2 linked regions of the Oryzias latipes genome follow. The protein of the gene in region 2 purifies or fractionates together with the protein of the main gene of each other region. This does not show direct contact. Links are inferred from orthologs where the notes say so. Each region holds a gene or a part of one and is shown on either strand. Other genes may lie near its edges.

Region 1 (3,753 bases), on a different chromosome or scaffold from region 2:
CACTCCATCACTACTTTTCTCAATTATGCATTTCTGTTATTTAGAAACTACTGATCTGTGCGGTGCAAATCTGTTTGTTTTTTTATCAATAACCCTATCTTCCTCTGAGCTTCAGTGCAAAACTCCTGATACATTCTTAATAAGTAGCTTGTAACAAATTGCTCAAAAAAATTACAGGAACATGTTCAGTTTTTAGTGAAGGGTGTTTTTCCAAATCAATATTTTTTTTAAACAGCTAGTTACAGAAATTAATTATTAATCCCTAGCTTTCCAATGACTATTTTGAAATGCTTCTAAAAGCATCCATTTTTTTACAGCAACAGGAACAAAATACCAAACCATTTTCATCCACATCCCTACTGAAGGACATTTACTTACCACATGCGGATATTTTGCTATTTTTGAAACCAGCTTTGCTCTCGTTATGTAGTACCTAGAAAATGAGAATAAAAGAACATATTCAATCAAAACATGACCAAAAAAACCAAAACAACTAAGCACTGATGCTACAAAGTTCGTATTTTGCTCTCTAAAGTGTTTGATTTACCTCGATATTTGGTCGAGGTAAGAGGCTGCCTCTCCTTCAACTGTTCGGAGTTCGGCTACTGTCTCCTCCTGAATTGAGACTCCAAAGTTGTTGCCATCCTCTATCCTTGGGATGAGCAGCTGAACCCACATTTTGACCTGAAGATTGAATTTAGAGGAAAAGACAAAAACAAAAAATGTGGGTTGCCAACATTTTTTCACCCAGTTTTTTATCATAAGACTTCAGATCAGGGCCAATGCAGAGGTGCCTGTAGACATTTAAGCGTTAAGACATTAATACATGCAAAGGCAACTTACTGTGTTACATTTCTCTATGAGCGTCCTGATCTCCGGCTTGACCTTTTCTATGAGATCAACAAGATTCCCATTGCTCTTCATCATTCCACCAGGCATGACAAAGACTTTGGTTCCGGTCACTTGGAAATAAAAGAAAGTTAAGTTAGTTACCAGGCACACAGTCCACTCTGACATGAGTTTGAAAATGAAAACAGTCCTTACTTTTGTCCTCTCCACTCCCATCCTCAAGCTTCCTCTTTTTGGCGTTTTGCTGTGGAAAAGATTCCCCAAAATTAGAAGTTTTTCTACACAAATTAGTTAAAAGGAAGTGCTGTAAAAATCCACAACTCACTGCCTCCAGTCCGTCGTGAAGGTTTGGGATTAGGATGGGGTCGGGTACTGTCAGGTTAATCTCTGAGTGTATGTCTTTCAGCTCAACAATGTTTATGCTTGGATCCTGGGGGGGGGAACCAAATTTGTTCTTTTTTTGTAATCAGATTACACTTTTTTTTTTTTTTACTGTGCCAACAGTAGTTAGAGTCAAAACTGTAGTTAAAGAAAGTTTCATACTGAACAACTAAGATTACAAAGGATAAAACATACCTTAAGAAAAGAATCAAGTTCCAGTAATTTCTTTGGAAAGAAATTTGCAACTAGATCCTCTGCCTAAGAGAGAAGCAAATAGAAAAAAACTTTAATACTAATACTGTTCTTTAAAAAAGGGGGTTTAAATAAAAAAAAAATAGAAAAAAAAGTATTCCAAATGCAAATCTCACTTCTGCTGTGATCCGTTCCCTGAATGCATCAACCTGTAAAATAATAAATATTTAGACAAAAGTTCAGCATCAGTACATCCCACGAACATGTGTTTCTCAGTGAGAATTTATTTTCTACTATAAGGTTAGTTGAAAAAATAAAACACAGCCATAATCGATTTTCATTCTTCAAAGTTTAATTATGTTATGGATAAAATTTACAGTAAAATAACGATAGATTATTTTACTATTATTATTTTTAAGATTAAAGAATGCAAGTAAGATCAACTTTTGATTAACTACATACTTTTATATGATCAAAGCAGTTTTAAGAAGAAAAAAGAATCAATATTTCAGTAAAATAAAACAGATTTAACATAATCTAAAAAGCACATGTTTCTTTAATCTTGCTATCATAGATAGAAACGTACATATAAAAGCTACAGAAATAAACCATAAATATTACTTATAAAAGGTTTATATTCATGTGCACCAACACAGACTAAACCTTTTTTTTAAACCTAAACTTATTGTAGTTATTTCTTTAGGGAACTATTATATTATTAGAGTCTCTAAATGAATAAGTCTCTCCGTAGTTCGCATTTTTTTCATTTGCTTAAATTTGATAAACGACACGCTCTTTAAAGTTAGTTTAAATACTGATCAGGGCAACAAGGAGTCGATATAAAGTTGTAGCATGATGACGCCGGTGGGTCGGTTGTAGCTTAGCCACAGTGGAGGCTAAGGCCTTCCTGACATGTGGTCTTCTGTCTCAAACTATCAATTAAACATAACAAGCACGCAATAAGACGTTTAATTCCACCCATTTGAAGCATTTTACCAGTCTGTCGCAGCACCTGTGATAAGTTTTGACAGATAAATTGCAGCAGGCGGGAAACATACCGGTTAGACATTGCTAGCTAGCGCTAAAGCTAACCAAAGACTCCACAACATGCCGCAAAATGCTAGCAGGCTAATTCCCACAATAACACGCGCAGGGGCCGTTCAGACAAACATCACCTTGGTTTTAATTTCACTGTCCACTTTGAGGAGTGAAGACATCTTCTGGGATCAAATGTAGATAGGACGTTTATCCCAGCAACAATAAAGTCTCCTGTAAACGTGTGGCTTCTTGCTGTCAGCCACACTTGTGTAGCTTAAAGATGACGTAATTACGCGACAGTTGCACTTTTTCCGCCAAAATCTTTATTGATAAACCGTTTTTACAAATGTAAATCTTCAAAGTTTTGGAATCCATCTTTTTATTTTTACTTCAGGATTATCATTATTGTTGATGTTGTTGTTATTATTATTATATAAAAATATTTAGAAAAGTCTTAGCAACAATAACGGGAATTGTGCCTTTTATGCGCACAAATATGTATTGTATATAATATTACCAAACATTGCGTACAACAGTATAATCAAATTGTTGAAAACAAGTATTGGCAATTTCATTTTACTTTGGAGATGCAACCAGAATTTGAGAAAAACGTCAATATGTTAAAATATAGAGAAATTTTTAAAAATAAAAAAATACCAACTTGTTAAGAATATCCTCTATAATAAAATGATATTGATAATCTTTAATAACTAATGTTCTATTTTCCCTGTAATTCTGTTATCTCTTCATACCTAACAAATACATTGGCCTGTGTCTAGGTGAAAAAAGTTCATTAATGTGGTGGTGGAAGATTTGTTAATTTTCCAGTACCTAGCTGCAGAAAAATAAATAGCAGACGGAATTCCACTCCGGAAGCAAAAATCGGTGGCTGTGTCCAGATCCACCCTTATCCCTGACTACTAAAAAACGATATAGTGCACGACTAAGTAGAGCCCTGGATTTTAAAAGCAATTCGGACACCATACTCACTCTTTTTTTAAACGGCGTATATGATGTAATCGATTTCACAATGTGAAAATCTCATTGATATGAGCATTTTGCGACAACCATTTATAAATCCACTGTGTTCTGAAGATGAAAACGTTAAAATTTATTTTATAACATACATTTAAATACATCTGCTTTTCAGAAGTTGTTCAAACGCAATGCATTGTGACCTTTTGCAGTCACTAGCTGTTCCAAAGTCAGAACTCCAGACCCTGAAGTCCAGGGGCGGGCAGGTCATCACAAATGTCTAACCCCGCCCCAAAGATCAAAGGCTCCTTCAAGAGC
Region 2 (3,518 bases):
CCTCGTTTCTAGACTTATCCCTGTGGCGTTGTAAGAAATTTAATGCAGACCGCTTGAACAAGTTCCCTTTTCCCATATTGTGCAAAAATGTATAAAAAAAAACAAAAAAAAAACACAATATGGCCACCAAGCCATATGTCCTGCGACCATCCCATAATAATTTCAACACTTTTTTTTGAATATCCCACGCTTTTGTTGCTTTAGTAAACTTTGAAATGTTTTTTAACCCCATAAGTGATTTGGGTCCCACTCATTAATGGTTTCTCCCGCTATGATGTCATATTTTTTCTTCGTTTTTTTTTTTGGATCCAGATGGTCCAAAATTAATTTTTAACTGGGTACTAGTGTTTCCAGGTGGAAATTTCAAGAAAATGTAAAAAACGTGGAAATTTCAGCTAAAAGGCGCAGAAAGAAAGAAAAATTGTGGGGGGAAAAAAAATCTGGTCCCTCTGTTGAGGACGGCTGCTGGACATAAATGTCAAATGTATCTTTAGTGATGTATGATTCCGGTGAATTTACTGAAATGTTTTCTTCAGTTGTCTGGAAAACGGATAGAGAATTCTGCGTTTTCAGGAGCAAAGACCCAAAGCGCCACCAGCAGCTCCGGCGGCCTTTAGGCAAGACTTTAATTCTACACAATGGTACATATATACAATTCTATACGCTCAGAATCTCATACAAAAAAAACCCAACAAAAATAATGTACAGAATGAGAACAGGGCACCGTGACCTAAACGAGAAGGAAAAATAATAATAAATACCAGCAGGGGGAGCTGTGGGGTCACCGAAACGAGGAAGAGGTTAAATGATGTGAGAAGAAGAACAGACCACCAGAACGCAGCCCCTCACCTCTCCATGCGCAGATACACACATTTAGGAAACAAAACAAAAAAAACAGTTTAACAAATATCCATCAGCACGGCGGGCTCCTGCGGGCAGAGAGCCAATCAGCTCACCGGCACACGGGACCAAGTGAGCAAGGTGGGGGGGGTGTCGTCCTTTTAAAAACGTTCATGTTTTGTGAACGATGGATCTTCCTCAGACGTCAGAAATGGAAGACGTTTCTTCTTCGCGCTGATGGGAGCTCTCACGCGGCGAGGACGAAGGTTCTGGAAGGTCCAAAGGAAGACGGGAGCTGCACGGAGGCCGGCTTCAGCCAACGAGTCGGATATTACCGGTGTTGATTTCAGAGTTTGGGGGCAGAGTTTGGCCGCAGAAGCAAAGGGAGCAGATGGAGAACGTCCACGCCGCCAACACCGACTTCTTTTGAGGCTCCGCTTTTACGTGGGAAGGACTCCATCTCCTCGGTCGAGTCTCTGCAGGCCGGAGGGTCACCGGCTGATGTCCCGGTTGCTATCCCAGTTCTTGCTGCCGGCAGCATCGCTGGCGCCCCCGTTCTCGAAGAAGGGGTGTTTGAGGGAGTCGGCCAGCGTCAGCCTCCTGGCCGGCTCGTACTCCAACATGCTTTCTATCAGGTCGAACAGCTGGTGGTGCTCCTCCGCCTCCGACAGCAGATAACGCTATGGAAAAACCCCACAGATCAGCACGGCCGCTTGGAATTCAACCGGGATCAGAATAAAACGCTTAGTCTTCATAGTGAACTGTTCTTACTTCACTCACCCGTAAGGGTTTGCAGTTTTCTCGGACATATTTTCCTGCAGAGGAGCTCTCATCCCAATCCAGGCGACCGCGGTAGAAATACTTCTGCTTCCTAAACAGCACAGGTCAGAAAATGGAAATCGTCATCTGAGTGGATTTGCTTCGTTTGTGGCCGCCACGTCTTCTTTGGTTCTCCTACCGAGTCTTGCGGATCATCCTGGAGGGAACCGGGCCCAGAATTCTTTCCATCATGGCCAAATGCTCGCGGTTATCGTGAGTCTGAAACATAAAGACGACAGGTCGGGACTTAAAGAGAAGTCTCGAAAACAACAAACATTCTGCTTCCTGTCCTGCGATGCGTAAAAGCGCACGTCAGGCGTCTGTTGGGGAGTTTTTATATCTGCGTAAACACGTGCGGCCATTGAACGCGCATTCAAAGTTAAATCAGTTGAACTTGGACCGATCGGGGACTTGGATTTGGTCCCTGGTTAAGGTTAAGTAAGCCTAACAGTCTGTCATAAAAACTAGTGATCTCCCCATCAGATTTTTAGGATTTCAGTCATCTGATTTTTGGTATGTGCCGGTACCGAGTCCAGATCCGATACTTTTGTAACATGTAAAAAAAAAATGAATACATTGAATACACAGATTCGGGTTTTCTCTTCATTTTAATATTCAGCAGTGTCTGAATGCACCGGTGTGTTTGCCAACCACAGCCACATAGCAATGCCGTGACCCCAAAAAGGTCATCAGCATTGACAGTTTGAGTAATGTGGAACGGCAAATTTCCCCATTTGGAATTAGAATTTCCCCATCGTGGGATAAAGAACGTTATCTAATTTAATAAAATAACTGACAAGGTCCATCAAGTTAAATGTCTGAAAATGTGTATTTCATTTTTCCAAGCAGTCCTTGTTTGTTGAACTTGTAAATAGGACAGAAATCCAGGAATTCAAATAATTCCAGACCTCTAGTATTTTACAAATACACAGCAGTAGGCCCGCACAATTAATCGCAAATTTATCGTTATGGCGATATCGAGCTGTGCAATACGTATATCGCAAAAGATGCCGAAAATTTCTATAACTAGTAACCTTAAATGTGCTAAAACAATCTATGGAAGTCTGAAGTAAATCCCTTTATGCATTGACCAATCAGATGGACTCCTTTACATCATTGACCAATCAGATGAAGCTCTTTTATGTTAGATGTTCGCCTCCTATGTAGACGAGGGTCATTTGGAGTGTAATTGAAGTTACGTTAACTCTTATTTACATTAAACTTGCAGTAAAACGGAAATGTTTTAAAACACGGATCAGTTCATGACTTTTTGATCCTAAGTCTCAAACTACCCAATCAGACCCGCTTTCTGATCACTAACTGGATCAGGACATCCCAGATTAAAGGGATTCAAACATGAGAAGTTTTAATGTGACAGAATACACACTTTCTCCATATTTCTGTTTAGGATAATCACAGTTACGTCCTCGGCGGCACGAGCAATGACCTACAGGTTACGTACCTGAAACAGAGTGAAGCCTAAGTAGTACTCGAAGAGGATGCAGCCGATGCTCCACACGTCACAGGGGTGACTCCAACCCAGCTCTGCACGGCAAAACAAGTCAGGACTCGTGAAAAGGTGAATTCATGAGACAAACTTAAAAAAAACAACAACAAAAAAGCTCCTCTCGTGACATTCCCATGTATGAGGAATAATGAAGAGCCGCGTGACCGCGCTGCATTTATGAGGTCAGCTGGAAAACGTCAGACCTGGAAGTCTGACATTTCTGTTCTTTACAACAGAAAATGCTCAACTTTTTCCAGCAGATAGAGAATTAACTTTCTTAAGCTGGATAAACTGACCGACTTTCATCCGTTTCTTCTTCACGGCCCTCAGATCGTCAGCTTGATAAGAGAAG

Evidence for each region. The genes of interacting proteins can lie anywhere in the genome.
Region 1: the proteins of dual specificity protein kinase CLK2 (region 2) and psme3 purify together in Homo sapiens (affinity purification with mass spectrometry; 3 studies listed by BioGRID and IntAct, with this or other methods). This does not show direct contact. The link is inferred for Oryzias latipes from reciprocal best matches to the Homo sapiens genes CLK2 and PSME3.

The regions. Positions count from the first base shown.
Region 1 is NC_019877.2:17,757,817-17,761,569, forward strand, and holds the start of psme3 (proteasome activator complex subunit 3), read right to left. Parts: upstream 2,759-3,753; 5' UTR 2,640-2,758; coding exon 2,598-2,639; intron 1,632-2,597; coding exon 1,599-1,631; intron 1,489-1,598; coding exon 1,426-1,488; intron 1,280-1,425; coding exon 1,175-1,279; intron 1,094-1,174; coding exon 1,045-1,093; intron 963-1,044; coding exon 844-962; intron 685-843; coding exon 548-684; intron 434-547; coding exon 379-433; intron 1-378. UniProt on the Homo sapiens protein: Subunit of the 11S REG-gamma (also called PA28-gamma) proteasome regulator, a doughnut-shaped homoheptamer which associates with the proteasome. 11S REG-gamma activates the trypsin-like catalytic subunit of the proteasome but inhibits the chymotrypsin-like and postglutamyl-preferring (PGPH) subunits.
Region 2 is NC_019869.2:6,668,118-6,671,635, forward strand, and holds the end of dual specificity protein kinase CLK2, read right to left. Parts: intron 3,205-3,518; coding exon 3,122-3,204; intron 1,879-3,121; coding exon 1,799-1,878; intron 1,712-1,798; coding exon 1,612-1,711; intron 1,521-1,611; coding exon 1,332-1,520; 3' UTR 567-1,331; downstream 1-566. UniProt on the Homo sapiens protein: Dual specificity kinase acting on both serine/threonine and tyrosine-containing substrates. Phosphorylates serine- and arginine-rich (SR) proteins of the spliceosomal complex.